Linked DNA regions of Saccharomyces cerevisiae S288C. The gene in region 2 interacts genetically with the main gene of each other region. Each region holds a gene or a part of one and is shown on either strand. Other genes may lie near its edges.

Region 1 (3,745 bases), on a different chromosome or scaffold from region 2:
GTTGACGGTCAGAAAAGATTAGTCATTAAGGGTAAGTTTCAATCCAAACAAATGGAGAATGTCTTAAGAAGATACATTTTGGAGTATGTCACTTGTAAAACTTGTAAGAGTATTAACACCGAATTGAAGAGAGAACAGTCAAACAGACTGTTCTTTATGGTCTGTAAAAGTTGTGGTTCTACCAGATCCGTCTCTTCTATTAAAACCGGTTTCCAAGCTACCGTTGGTAAGAGAAGGAGAATGTGATGTTGGTGCTTTACCTGTTAGCATATATATAATAAATACGGATTTCGTTTATCTTGTGTATTTTATTCGTTTCATTAGATATTTAATGTTTAAATGAAGAAAAACTTAAAGTAAAAATTTTCATTCACAAAATAAATCTAAACAGCGGTAGGTAATCTTCATTGATCAGAGTGAACACATTGCATGGAGCCAGCCAATCATCGTGTCCTGTTTACTTCCCAAGGACAGGAAAAAGCTTTGAGAAGCAAAACCGATCAAGTGTCTAAATCTTGTAAAAGATTTAATAATTGGCTGGTAGTAGGCCTTTGTATAGGATCCACTTGAATGCATTTCTTGATTACACTCAAAAGCCCCTCAGAAAATCTGGAATTTCTCGGGAAACTGTACTTACCAGTGTTTATAGCGTAGGTTAAAGAAGCTCCATGTATCTGCTCTTCTCGCTCAAAGGGGGAGATACCGAACATTAAAGTATAGAACGTACAACCCAAAGACCAAATATCAACCTTAGAGCTCAAAACCTGATTTAATTTCAAGTTCAGAAGTTCTGGTGGAGTATATGGCAACGTACAATTGTCATTGACCCATTCTTGTAGTTCGCTGAGTTGATGTCTGTTTTCAATTGTTATATCAGCTTGAGAGCAGGAGCCGAGGTCACCAATTACTGGTAAACCGTCTGAAGAGAACAAAATGTTTGAAGGTGTAATATCGCGATGTGCATATGCTATTGAACCTGCTGAGTTGGAGGAAAGCATGTCCATCTCTAAGGGGGTGTCTTCTAGGAGCATCGCCGTTTCATCGCTATAAGTCATAGAAACCGCATCGACATTTACTCTGGAAGTAGCGTTATCTTGTCTTGACGCAGGATCATGTAAACAAAGTAAACCTCTTGTAACTCCAAGCATTATCCTTACGCATTCTGCCTCTGATACAAAGGTGCCCTCGAGTAACCTCCGATTAATAGAGTCTTGTAAACTCCCTAATGAATAATAGGGTAGTACTATGTAAATTGTTTTTGACCCATCTTTTTCCTGCATTACTTGTGAGTCGATACTTTTTATAACATAAGGACTTTGAAACCGTTTGTAATTTTCAATTTCTCGCATACCATTGGATATACTTTCCACACTAGGACAAATAATCTTCTTTAGTGCGTATAATTCTGGTGTTGCGATGCCGTTGTCTATAATCAGAGAATTCTTTGACAGTTGTACCAAATACACAAAGGACATTCCACCTTCTCCAAGTAGTCGTTGAATCCTATATCGTTTATCATTTACCCTAATAGTAGCATCGGAAAATCCGCGACAGCAGCACAAGTTCTGGAACAATTCCAATACAATAGAAATCATTGATCGGATAAGATGGTACAATCGTTATTTTATCCCTAGTCAGTCGCTGAGATTACAGGCTCTTTTTGTCTACTCTCTGTTTCGTCTTTTTGGAGAAAGTATGGTTCAACATCTTACAAAACCAGATACCGAAAATGTCCCTAACTCGGTGTCATAAGACAGGACTTATCAAAACAGAAAGGATCTTGCAAAAAAGAAAAAGAGCAAATTATGTAAACTTTGGGGGTCAACACAGTTGTATCAGTCGTATTGGTTAGACCCAATATAGCGGTTTTCTTTACTTCTTTGTTTCTACACTTATTAAAGTCTATTTAACTCCCTTTCACGTGATCAGTTTGAAAGAAACGTGAAAATTATTTTTTTCAGCGAACTTTTTGAAGGTTTTCAATAGAAGATGAAAGCTAAATGAAGACTGTACATTCACACGGGAAACGAGAGAAAGAAGTTCAGTTAGTTGAAGCCAGCAATACTACTTTCTCTAGCAGTCTAGCACAAGTTACTTTGAAAGGAAATAAAAAAAATTGTCAGCATGTCGATTCAAACTAGTGATCCAAATGAAACATCAGATTTAAAGTCGTTATCTTTAATTGCTGCCCACTCCCATATTACAGGTTTAGGTCTAGATGAAAACTTGCAACCACGTCCCACATCCGAAGGTATGGTTGGGCAATTGCAAGCCCGTCGTGCTGCTGGTGTGATATTGAAAATGGTTCAAAATGGCACCATAGCAGGTAGGGCTGTTTTGGTAGCGGGCCCCCCTTCAACTGGTAAGACCGCTCTTGCCATGGGTGTTTCCCAGTCTCTGGGTAAAGATGTACCATTCACTGCTATTGCGGGCTCAGAAATCTTTTCTTTAGAATTGAGTAAAACTGAAGCACTAACTCAAGCTTTTAGGAAATCCATCGGTATCAAAATCAAGGAGGAGACAGAATTGATTGAAGGTGAAGTCGTGGAAATTCAAATTGATAGATCTATTACTGGTGGACACAAACAAGGAAAATTGACTATTAAAACTACCGATATGGAAACAATTTATGAATTAGGCAATAAAATGATTGATGGCCTAACTAAAGAAAAGGTATTGGCTGGCGATGTTATTTCTATTGATAAAGCTAGTGGGAAGATTACCAAGCTAGGCAGATCCTTTGCTAGATCTAGGGATTATGATGCCATGGGTGCTGATACCAGATTTGTTCAATGTCCGGAAGGCGAACTGCAAAAAAGGAAAACAGTGGTTCACACGGTGTCACTGCATGAAATTGATGTTATTAATTCAAGAACACAAGGATTTTTGGCATTATTTACTGGTGACACCGGTGAAATTAGGTCAGAGGTAAGAGACCAGATAAACACAAAAGTGGCAGAATGGAAAGAAGAAGGTAAAGCAGAAATTGTTCCTGGTGTATTATTTATCGACGAAGTCCACATGTTGGATATAGAATGTTTTTCCTTTATAAATAGGGCTTTGGAAGATGAGTTTGCCCCAATCGTCATGATGGCTACAAATAGAGGAGTTTCCAAAACCAGAGGGACTAATTACAAATCTCCACATGGGTTACCTCTCGATCTTTTGGATAGGTCAATTATTATTACAACTAAAAGTTATAATGAGCAGGAGATTAAGACAATTTTATCTATAAGAGCACAAGAGGAGGAAGTTGAACTGTCATCCGATGCCTTAGATCTATTGACCAAAACAGGTGTGGAAACTAGTTTGCGTTACAGCAGTAATTTAATCTCTGTTGCTCAGCAAATTGCAATGAAGAGAAAAAACAACACTGTTGAAGTGGAAGATGTCAAAAGGGCTTATTTGCTATTTTTGGACAGCGCTAGATCTGTTAAGTATGTTCAAGAGAACGAGTCACAATATATTGATGATCAGGGCAACGTTCAAATATCCATTGCTAAATCAGCAGACCCTGATGCCATGGATACTACGGAATAAGCATTTTGTACTTTAAGGCAGAAATTGCATCAAATATATATGTATAAATAAAAATTTTATGTTTGCGTGATTGTTGGTGATAAGAAGTAAAAAAGTACACCTAAAATAGGCAGCAGTTGGCCAGCACGTTCAGAACCCCGTATGATATACCTTCTTTCGAATAATTATCGATTATCAAATGTATAGATAGCAGTATTATAATATA
Region 2 (8,122 bases):
TGAAGTAGATTCACCTTCGATGGAAAAAAATTCTATCGTTCATATGCCAGGTGATTTTATCTACTTCAATCCCAAGTCAAACGCTTCTAAACCTATCACTGCAAAGGCGGCGCCATTATCGGCTAATAACTCCACACATAAAAACAAGGAAGTTATCACTGCACCCACAGGGCCTCGTGTACCCTTCACAGAGTTCTTTCAGAAGGAAGACGACAAGAAATTCCACATTCTCATTGGTGCGACGGGCTCAGTTGCCACAATAAAAGTACCTCTAATTATTGATAAACTTTTCAAGATATATGGGCCTGAGAAAATCTCTATTCAGTTGATTGTCACAAAACCCGCTGAGCATTTTTTGAAAGGGCTCAAAATGTCAACACACGTTAAAATTTGGAGGGAGGAAGACGCTTGGGTATTCGACGCTGTGAATAAGAATGATACTAGCTTGAGTCTGAACTTGATATTGCACCATGAATTAAGAAAATGGGCTGATATTTTCCTGATTGCGCCTTTGTCAGCTAACACACTTGCTAAACTGGCCAATGGTATATGTAACAATTTGCTAACTTCTGTGATGAGAGATTGGTCACCACTGACCCCAGTGTTGATTGCGCCTGCAATGAATACATTCATGTATATCAATCCTATGACAAAGAAACACCTGACGAGTTTAGTGCAAGACTATCCGTTCATCCAAGTTTTGAAACCGGTGGAAAAGGTATTAATATGCGGAGATATTGGTATGGGTGGTATGAGAGAATGGACAGATATTGTAGAGATCGTTAGGAGGAGAATCAATGAAATACGGAAAGCTAGGGACGAGGAAACTGGTGATAAAGAGCAAGAACAAGAAGAACAAGAGGGTGCTGACAATGAGGACGACGATGATGAGGATGACGAAGAGGATGAGGAGGACGAGGAGGAGGAAGAAGCTCTAAATGAAACAGCATCCGATGAGAGCAATGACGAGGAAGACGAAGAGGATGAGGAAGACGTGAAAACCGAAGTTTAAATGCATTAGAAAAGAGTATTTTGTGTTATGTTTTATGTTTTATTTTTTTTTTTTTTGTTTATTCCTTAAAAGAAGATTACTGCTTTTTCATTCCCTAGTTTCTAAATTGAGTGCCTAAATAAGATTAAATAAATATGTATGTGGAAACTAGGGAGGGTATGTTTTTATTTACAGGAATAGTTGTAGTAATTCAAAAGCCTAAAGATTTCCAGAACCGTAATCTAAAGCCCTCAAAACTGTTTAATTTTGGTCTAACATCGAGATAAATAAGTGGTTGTTGCTGCGAGTTTGCATCGTTCAGATCGGTGGAATAGAAATCGATTACGTAGTCGACGGTTTTACCGCATCTATCTATCTGCCAATCATGTCTATCAAAAGGTTTGGCCAGGTGCAAGATACGGGACCTGAACCAGGCCCTTGGTGTCAGTTTTTTGGAATCACCTTTAAAATTTGTTAATTTGATACCGCCACACGCTTCACCACCCTGCTTGTCTTCCCAGCTTTTAATGTAGTTCCAAACCCGCTCATTGATGGAGTTATGTAAAGGCACAACCACCTTCATGTCATCTGAGTTCGGATCCCAATTTTTTTTCATCATTGCCTCGTAAAATTGTTTCTCCGACGGGTATATCCAGTTTCTGTCAGAATTCGTCCTTGGTATGGTGGAAACCTCTCTGGACTGAGAGAGATCCACCGTGGTGTGATATTCAGGCGTTTTATCGTTATCTTGTGGGTTTGCAGAGCACTCTAGTTGATTGCCTGGGGCAGTAGCACCAGGATGCGCTTCGTTGCCATGTTCTCGTAGCCATAACTTTTTGGTTTCCTCATCTACGGGGCATTTCCCCTGTTGGTCTGAAGACATCATAATATGTAAAATAGAGACGAATGAAAAGCACGTGAACTAACAAACTATTTACTACTACCGAAATGTGATGCTTAAGCCTTTGGCCTCTGCAATACTAGCGATTGCTTTTTCCCTGATTAGTAAGCTACATCATTTATACTACATCTTTCTGTCTTAGAAGGCTTACAAACATCGAAAAGCTGGAACTTTGATTTCGAAAAAAATATGCCGTTACCCGTTGCGGGTCCCTTTTTTTTAGAAGGCCGGCCCAGAAGTCGCCATTATTTTTAGTCATTACAGTAGCCCTGTTGGGTAAGGATGCGATGCAATACATGTCAAGAGGTGTTGTATATAAACCACAATATCTACCATCAATGAGCTATATATACTTTTCTTACTGAAAAAAAAAACTACAAAACCAAGTAAAAAAAGAACAATATGTCACTACAAAGCAACAGTGTAAAACCAACAGAAATTCCTCTCTCAGAGATCAGACGCCCCCTAGCGCCTGTGTTGGATCCTCAAAAGATCGACGCAATGGTGGCCACAATGAAGGGCATTCCCACCGCTAGCAAGACATGCTCTCTAGAACAGGCTGAGGCGGCTGCCTCAGCCGGGGAACTGCCGCCCGTGGACGTGCTGGGCGTGCGAGTCAAGGGACAGACGCTATATTATGCCTTCGGCGGCTGCCACCGTCTACAGGCATACGACCGCCGGGCTCGCGAAACGCAGAACGCCGCCTTCCCCGTGCGCTGCAGGGTGCTACCGGCCACTCCCCGCCAAATCCGCATGTACCTGGGCAGCAGTCTCGACATCGAATAATGATTACGCTAATAACACTACATAAGAAACATAGATAAATTATAATTCACTAATACAAAATCCCTCAATTTAATTAATCAATTTCTTATTCAACAACTAGAGTAGGCACTAGCAGTTTGTGCGACCCTCGGCGCCGGAGAGGTACAAGGGACCTGGCGGTTGGGCCTTCCTGCCAGCTTCTCCCCCCCTTCTCGGCATTCACTCAGCGTTCATTGGCTCAATCACGCGCCAAGCGGATTCCCAGAAAAATACAAAAAAAAGTTGCCATAATACAATGGCGGATATTACAATATATATAGCTTGCGCTTTAAAAAGAAGTGTTAGCACGCATTGGGTGTTTGTACTGTATTCCTCCACTTAAGATAACGAATACACATATAGATATACAATATATTATACGTGGACATCTACGGAAAGGAAGAAAAAAAACAAAAGGAAAAGGAAGGATACCATATACAATGTTGTCAAGAGTAGCTAAACGTGCGTTTTCCTCTACAGTTGCCAACCCTTATAAAGTGACTGTTTTGGGTGCAGGCGGTGGTATTGGACAACCATTGTCTTTGCTTCTAAAGCTTAACCATAAAGTCACGGACTTAAGACTGTACGACCTAAAGGGCGCAAAAGGTGTTGCCACCGATTTGTCTCATATTCCAACAAACTCCGTGGTCAAGGGGTTTACTCCAGAAGAGCCAGACGGATTGAACAACGCTTTAAAGGACACAGACATGGTTTTAATTCCTGCTGGTGTGCCCAGAAAGCCTGGTATGACACGTGATGACTTGTTCGCCATCAACGCAAGCATCGTTCGCGATTTGGCAGCAGCAACCGCCGAATCCGCTCCCAATGCTGCCATTCTGGTCATTTCCAACCCAGTCAATTCTACCGTTCCAATTGTCGCCCAAGTCTTGAAAAACAAGGGTGTTTACAACCCAAAGAAATTGTTCGGTGTGACTACCTTGGACTCTATTAGAGCCGCCAGATTCATCTCAGAAGTCGAGAACACCGATCCAACTCAGGAAAGGGTTAACGTCATCGGTGGACATTCTGGTATTACCATCATCCCATTGATTTCGCAAACAAACCATAAGTTGATGTCTGATGACAAGAGACACGAATTGATTCACAGAATACAGTTTGGTGGTGACGAAGTCGTCAAAGCAAAGAATGGTGCTGGCTCTGCTACGTTGTCAATGGCCCATGCTGGTGCTAAATTCGCTAACGCTGTTTTGTCCGGTTTCAAAGGCGAAAGAGACGTCATCGAGCCTTCCTTCGTGGACTCTCCCTTGTTCAAATCCGAAGGCATCGAATTCTTTGCATCTCCGGTCACTTTGGGCCCAGATGGTATTGAAAAGATCCATCCAATAGGTGAGTTATCTTCAGAAGAAGAAGAAATGCTACAAAAATGTAAAGAAACCTTGAAGAAGAATATCGAAAAGGGTGTCAACTTTGTTGCTAGTAAATAGATTGTTCAAGATCAGAAATAGAGTGAAAAATAGGGAAAAAAAAAAAAAAATTCTACTAATAAGAACGGAAGACTACTCGCCATCATGAGATTACGACATCTTTTTTATTTAATTCTTTGTTATATTTAGCCAATTGAAAGGAAGGAAACTGCCAAAAATCAACTAGAGAAAAATTCATGCTATTCGTTGCTCCTACACCTTTTTTTCTTCCGTAGACGAGGAAAAACAAAAATGATTAAATAGGCGCGCGCGGTGTGATGGTGATGATAATGATGATGATGATGATAATGATGAATAAACGTTTCGGTTTACGAGTTTCTTTAAATATACATATATGATATAAAAAAAAAAATACGTACCACTTACAATTTGCAAATATAGATGATCGAAACTGCCATTTATGGTAAGACAGTGGATGACCAATCTCGATGTGTCCACTGGCATCTTCCAAAGGATGTAATTGCCATCAGGTTTAAATGTTGTGATAAGTACTATGCGTGCTTTGAATGCCACCAAGAGTTAAGTTCTCACCCGCTAGAAAAATATGATCTCCTTGACGATGCAAATAAACACTTGATTATTTGCGGAGTTTGCCGTCATGAAATGACGTTTGCAGAGTATTACGACTACAATTCAAACCTTATTTGTCCCAATTGCAGATCCCCCTTTAATCCAGGCTGTAAATTGCACTACCATTTGTATTTCCAGAACCCTCCCCCCGCTATGTGTTGAGTGTTGTTCTATAAATGCATGCCATCTTAAGCTCTGCTGTGCTCTTCTCGTTAAGGAAAAAATGCGATGGTATATATATAGATATATATATATATATATGTATCTGTATATATATGTTCATACATATATATATATCTATTATTGTTGTTATTATTATCGTGATTATTATTTAGGTCCTCCCTTCTTTTTACCTGTTTTTAATCTACCCTCAAATCCGGCTCTTTTCTTTGGTACGGCACTACCGACATACTTTCTTTTCATCTTTTCTTGCTTATTTCTCTTTTTACCCTTGTTGTCTTTCCTAATCCTCAGATTCTCTTCTCTTCTCTTTTGTCTTTCAGATATCGTGTCTTCCACAACCCTCTTACGTTCGCTCCATTCAATCGCAGACTTTCTCTTTTGTGCTTCCTTTCTCTTTATAGCTTTGCGAAGTAGTTTTTCGTCATCCCTAATCTTAATTCCTTCTGCTTGTAACATAGCCTTTTGCCATTTTTCCTTTTCCTTCTGCTTGATTTGTTCTAGTTCGTCTTTCGCCTCCATCTTATTCTTCTTGGCTTCTAATAACTTTAAGTGTGATTTTACATCATTCTTAGCCGGACCCTTCGTTCTACCAGCTTTTCTTAACCTTTGTAAATCTGAAGTGGCCCTTGCACCATCATCGAATATGATATTTTGAAACATTACACCATCTGCGTTAATTTCTGAGTCCTTCTTGCCTTTTTTGAATCTTTTTTTCGAATTGTTTTCTAAATCACTATCGATGTCTTCCATATCGGAATCAGACGCAATTTCATCCTGATCCTGTTCCTGTTCACTTTCTAGACGCTTTCTTTTTTTCAACTCTTCCTTGCGTTTCCTTTGAGCAAGAATAGCCTCTCTAGAACCGGGTGCTTTCCTTTTACTCTTCATATCTGAAATTTTCGCTTGTAACTTGGAACGTAGTGCTTCCAAGTTTTTCTTTCTTTGTAGTTTCTCTTCCTCTGTAATAGACTTCTTTTCGACAGATCTATCGGGCTCTGTAGTATCTTTTTTAGATTCTAATGGTATTTCATTTCCCTCATCATCAAAGATCACCTTAATATCCTCTTCCTCTTCTTCATCTTCGTCTGGTGCTATTATCATAGGATCGTTTACTTCTACGTTCAGGTCGGAGTCTCCTTCCACTTTTGATGTTGCTTCCTTTTGCTTTTGCATTTTCATGTGCTTGAATTTTTCACCAGGTAGGACCACCGGCTTTGCGTCTTTCTCCTTCTTCTTCATTACTTCTAATGTACTAGATGTTTCATCATCACGTTGCTCCGGGTCTAATTTTTTCAGTTTATCATTTTTACTCTGTTCTTTGGTTTTCTTCTTGGCCTTCCATTGCTCTTGACTTTTTTCATCATAATAGTATTTTGCAGGAATTAAAGCCAATAAACCATCGAAGGCGCTTGAATTAGCACGAAGGCGCTCCTCAAGTGAATTACTCATCTCAGTCTCCTATATCTTTCAATTCCCGGACTTTCTTTATCACTTGCAACAACGTCTCAGTCCTCACTTGTTATTCATCTCTTGGTCATCTCATCTCTTTTATTGTACTTTCCTCTTTTCTTTACCGGAGATGAGAATAAAAAGAATTCATTTTAAAAAATTTTCAATTTGGTGTCTGGGTGAAACTTTTTAATCGTGTAATCCCAATTAAACCACTCTACTTTACTTTAATTGGTACACGAACTCATTACACACCTTTGCCTCTATTGCTTGTGTCAATCGTGTTGAGAGAGGAAGCCCAAAACAAGGGAAATTAACCTCTGTAGGCAAGCCATCACATTTGGCAATAGCAGCCCTCATTTAATTTAATTCGGCATGTGGCCGGCAGGGTAATGCGCTCTGCTGCTGACAAAATTGAAAGAAAAATTTTTTTCATCAACAGTTTGCAATACTTTCTTTTTCATATTTAATTCATCCATTCCGTCGTTAATTTTGTTCAAAACTGGTGTCCATCCTTAATACCAACTCAATTCTTTGATTTTGGCCCTCGATAGATTCAAGATGTCCCAAGGTACTTTATACATTAATAGATCTCCAAGAAACTACGCTTCTGAAGCTTTGATTTCTTACTTTAAACTAGATGTCAAGATCGTTGATCTAGAACAATCTAGCGAGTTTGCTTCTTTGTTCCCATTGAAGCAAGCCCCTGCATTTTTGGGTCCAAAGGGCTTAAAGCTAACTGAAGCTTTGGCTATCCAATTTTATTGTATGTTCCATATTTTATTTTAACACTTCCACATACATTGTTTTGCGCGTTTCCCGTTCGTTTATTTGGCACGTCATTTTTCTTCGAAACATAATGATGAAAAAAAATTTTATCAAACAGTTATCCCTGTCTGAATGGGTAATAATAGGTAACCTCTCATATGTTGATATTTGTATTTCTGATATGTTTCTTAAAGAAAAATGAAAGTCAAAATAACAAAAAGGAAGTACAAAGCGTGTCCTAATCCAGGAAAAAATATAAAGGATTGTTTTACTAACATTTCTTCAATTAATGGTTGTATAACCATCGAGATGATGTATATTTAGTGGCTAATCAAGTTGCCGATGAAAAAGAAAGAGCTCGCTTATTAGGTTCCGACGTTATCGAAAAGTCTCAAATCCTTAGATGGGCATCTCTAGCTAATTCCGATGTCATGAGCAACATTGCTCGTCCATTCCTTTCTTTCAAAGGTTTGATTCCATACAACAAGAAAGACGTTGATGCTTGTTTTGTTAAAATCGACAACCTAGCTGCTGTCTTCGATGCTAGATTGAGAGACTACACCTTTGTTGCTACCGAAAACATTTCTCTAGGTGACCTTCATGCCGCTGGTTCTTGGGCTTTTGGTTTGGCCACTATTTTGGGCCCTGAATGGAGAGCTAAGCATCCTCATTTGATGAGATGGTTCAACACTGTTGCTGCTTCTCCAATCGTGAAGACTCCATTTGCTGAAGTCAAATTGGCTGAAAAGGCTCTAACCTACACTCCACCAAAGAAGCAAAAGGCTGAAAAGCCAAAGGCCGAAAAGTCAAAGGCTGAAAAGAAGAAGGACGAAGCTAAGCCAGCAGATGATGCTGCTCCAGCTAAAAAGCCAAAGCACCCATTGGAAGCTTTAGGAAAGTCCACATTTGTCTTGGATGACTGGAAGAGAAAGTACTCCAACGACGACACCAGACCAGTTGCTTTGCCATGGTTCTGGGAACACTACAACCCTGAAGAATACTCCATCTGGA
Region 3 (3,036 bases), on a different chromosome or scaffold from region 2:
TGGCTCCTCTTGTTAACGAATTGCTGCTCCCGGTATTGGTCGAAGAACAAGACATGGAAATTCTCAACCTAGTATCGTTTCAAGTGCTCCCCGATTTAGTTCTTTCTATGATCAGCGACCCTGCAGCTGCTCAGTTGGGATGGGTAATAAGCTTGATATGCGACCCTTTATTAAACCAAAGCATGATACATGCAAATCGTTCTTTTGTTCTGATTGAGACACTAAGAAATGTGTTACAAAAAATTGAAAACTCCCCTCATTTAGATTACCACCAACCAGTAAACAGTTCATTAGAGTTTATCTCCAAATTTATTGTTGAAATGAAAAGGCATATGTGTGATGTGGATGCTGCGCAGCTTTCACATTCACTTTCTGAAAGCAATATGCTAATTTACATAGAATCCCTTAATCTATTGCTAAAATTTAGCTTCTTTTCAGACGCGGCAAGTCCTTCAGTAATGGTCACACTGCCCTTTGATATTTTGAATGACGTTTTTACAATTGCGCAGGACTATTCTGCTACGAATACAAATGAAAGCATTGATAGGATCACAGAAAAATTACTTTTGACTTCTACGCAATTAACTCATCCGGTGGACCTGGAAAATTTATGCCCCAAAATGAAGTACAATACTTTAGCAGCAGTTTCTCGAATATGGTACAAATTTGGCCCCATAGTCGATAAATTATTTACTAACCGGCTATTACCGGTTCTATTCCCCCCGCAAATGGGAGAAGAATGTAACGTCGAAGATGTTCTCGAAATAGTTCATAACTTCCATCCATATTTTTCTATTCGTAGGCTAAAGGATAATAGGCCTCTATTGTCAGATTCGACTATTAGCCAGCTAAGAGAGGGTTTGTTTGGTATGCTCAGCATATTAAACGACTCGCTGACAAGGACGCAAAATGAAAACGACCATGGTAGCGACAATCTGATCGACAGTGACGACGGATTTGGCTCAGACAACGATCCTGAACAACAAGCGTACCTCGATGAACTCGTATCAGAAGGTTATGACGAAAACATGTATGACGGTGATACGGATGACGAAGACGCAGATGATATAAACGTTGAAAAAAATGATGAAGCCACCAAAGACATTACAGAAACGAACAAAATCCTTTTAATCTTTTCTGAGTTACATTATCCTCAGGAGGAGCGCTTCTCTGAACTGTTGGTTGAGTTGCAGACTAAGATCGCTATAAACACATCCTTAATTGATAAAATTCTTTCAAAAGAGACAACAGAATTACCCACTCACAATGGGGAAATCGCAGATTTGAACGAAATTCTAAATGAAGTGAAAGGCAATAAACCAATTAGAAAAAACGTTATTTTTTGTACGTTAGCGCATACTTTGTCGTTGCAATCCGGTTCCGAATTGTCTGTTCTACAGCTATCAATAGAGGTTATTGATCATCTGCTGGTTAAAAATCATTCAAATAACATCACTCGTGGCGAGCAATTTCAATTGATTAAGTTGATATTACCCCATCTAAAAACAAATAAATCTTTTATTGATACATTAAAAGCAGGAAATTTTACCCAAAAAATTGATGAAGGAGTGACCTTAAGAACAATGATTCTTTCTCTACTACTACAACTATTCCCACTGGATTACTCTATGCTAGGTGAGATTTTACCCACTATTGCGCGATATTCTGTAAGGGATAAGGATCTTGGGGTGAGAGATCTGTCCTTCCAATTGCTGGACCAAATTCTACGCACATACTATAATTACCTAATTGGTATCGATTGGGAATGGTATAAAGATGACTTCTATCAAGTTTTGCAAGAAACTTGTATTAAAAAAGACATAAATACCAACCTCTTGCTACAATTTCCTCCTTATCTCCCTCATGACTAGATAGTTTTATACCAAATACATCATGCATCTTTTTTTTTTCCTTATAGTTTGTGTCATCAACATGTTTTTGCCCGTATTAATACACAATAATCTATCCTCTCAGGCAGGGAGAAGAAAACTAAATATACATAGCACCCTCACACAGGATGTCAAAACTATCGTCTTATCCTCATGCCGCCGATTTTATAAATATGGAAGAACCGCCAAAATCTAAAGAGTTTTTCGATGATCTTTGTGCCGTCCCTAATTTACTCAAAAGACGTTTTCCAAACTCTCGAAGATCGACGCATTATTGTGAGGCTTTAAATTATTCTAGGAAAAAGCTTCCTGTTGTGTTGTCTAAAATGACACTGCAAGAGTTGAGGCACAATATGTCAACATTTTTTTTGCAGGAAAAGGATCAAATAAATATTTATGACACCTGTAAGGTGATAGACATGGGGGACCGTGTCTTGCTCGAAACTATGCCTCCACAGCCAAGAGATTTATTTGAAAAATTGCATGCAAGTAAAACAAATTTAGTAGTTCAGACAGCAGCTTTGGATGAACCCCTACTTACAGTAAAAGCAGAGCTACAGTCATCTTCCTTTCCACAAAAATCAAGCCTATTTCTGTATGAGGATTATAAAAAATTTATTTATCAACAACTAGATATGTTTAGTTAATTACTTACGAAAAGAGAGGCTATTGTTTATTGTTGGCCATTTTATTTATTATTATTTTTTTCCACCTTAGCATAAGGAAACACGATTTGGATTTCAAAAGTAGAGCTTTAATAACAAAAGATAAACAACCACAGTGTCAAGAACGGTTACAACGAGAAGGATAGGCTGATGATTTATCAAACATCTTCTTATTGGTTCCTAGTAATTTCCCTATTTTTGAGCAACAAAATGTCGGGATAATATTCTCATAATACTCAAACACTCTTAATATCATATATATATATATACAGTCATTTTTTGTTATTCGTTACCCGAACTTCTTTATTATTATAACCAGGGAACATCAATAACGAGCTACAATAATCATGTTCATCTCCCTCATTGTCTCTTATTTGATGTTACACACGCTTTTCTAGCATAGGAGGAACTTCCATATGCATACTAATAGATCATGCTCAGAAGACACGGATTATTCTGGTTAAAGACATGTCCCCGTCTAA

What was found.
Region 1: mutations in HOT13 (region 2) and ENV7 together harm fitness more than expected from each alone (negative genetic interaction), as found in Saccharomyces cerevisiae (one large-scale study listed by BioGRID).
Region 3: mutations in HOT13 (region 2) and YOL024W together harm fitness more than expected from each alone (negative genetic interaction), as found in Saccharomyces cerevisiae (one large-scale study listed by BioGRID).

What each region holds. Positions count from the first base shown.
Region 1 is NC_001148.4:101,108-104,852, forward strand, and holds ENV7 (putative serine/threonine protein kinase ENV7), read right to left. Parts: upstream 1,596-3,745; coding exon 501-1,595; downstream 1-500. Other genes in the region: SUI3 (translation initiation factor eIF2 subunit beta), read left to right, coding at 1-246; RVB2 (RuvB family ATP-dependent DNA helicase reptin), read left to right, coding at 2,125-3,540. UniProt on the Saccharomyces cerevisiae protein: Serine/threonine-protein kinase involved in vacuolar processing and morphology.
Region 2 is NC_001143.9:275,987-284,108, forward strand, and holds HOT13 (Hot13p), read left to right. Parts: upstream 1-4,522; coding exon 4,523-4,873; downstream 4,874-8,122. Other genes in the region: phosphopantothenoylcysteine decarboxylase complex subunit CAB3, read left to right, coding at 1-1,012; cytochrome c1 heme lyase CYT2, read right to left, coding at 1,203-1,877; SRX1 (sulfiredoxin), read left to right, coding at 2,295-2,678; malate dehydrogenase MDH1, read left to right, coding at 3,137-4,141; ribosome biosynthesis protein RRP14, read right to left, coding at 5,039-6,343; TEF4 (translation elongation factor EF1B gamma), read left to right, coding at 6,905-7,109, 7,436-8,122. UniProt on the Saccharomyces cerevisiae protein: Required for the assembly or recycling of the small Tim proteins in the mitochondrial intermembrane, thereby participating in the import and insertion of multi-pass transmembrane proteins into the mitochondrial inner membrane.
Region 3 is NC_001147.6:275,069-278,104, forward strand, and holds YOL024W (uncharacterized protein), read left to right. Parts: upstream 1-2,017; coding exon 2,018-2,536; downstream 2,537-3,036. Other genes in the region: LAG2 (Lag2p), read left to right, coding at 1-1,871; IFM1 (translation initiation factor 2), read left to right, coding at 2,988-3,036.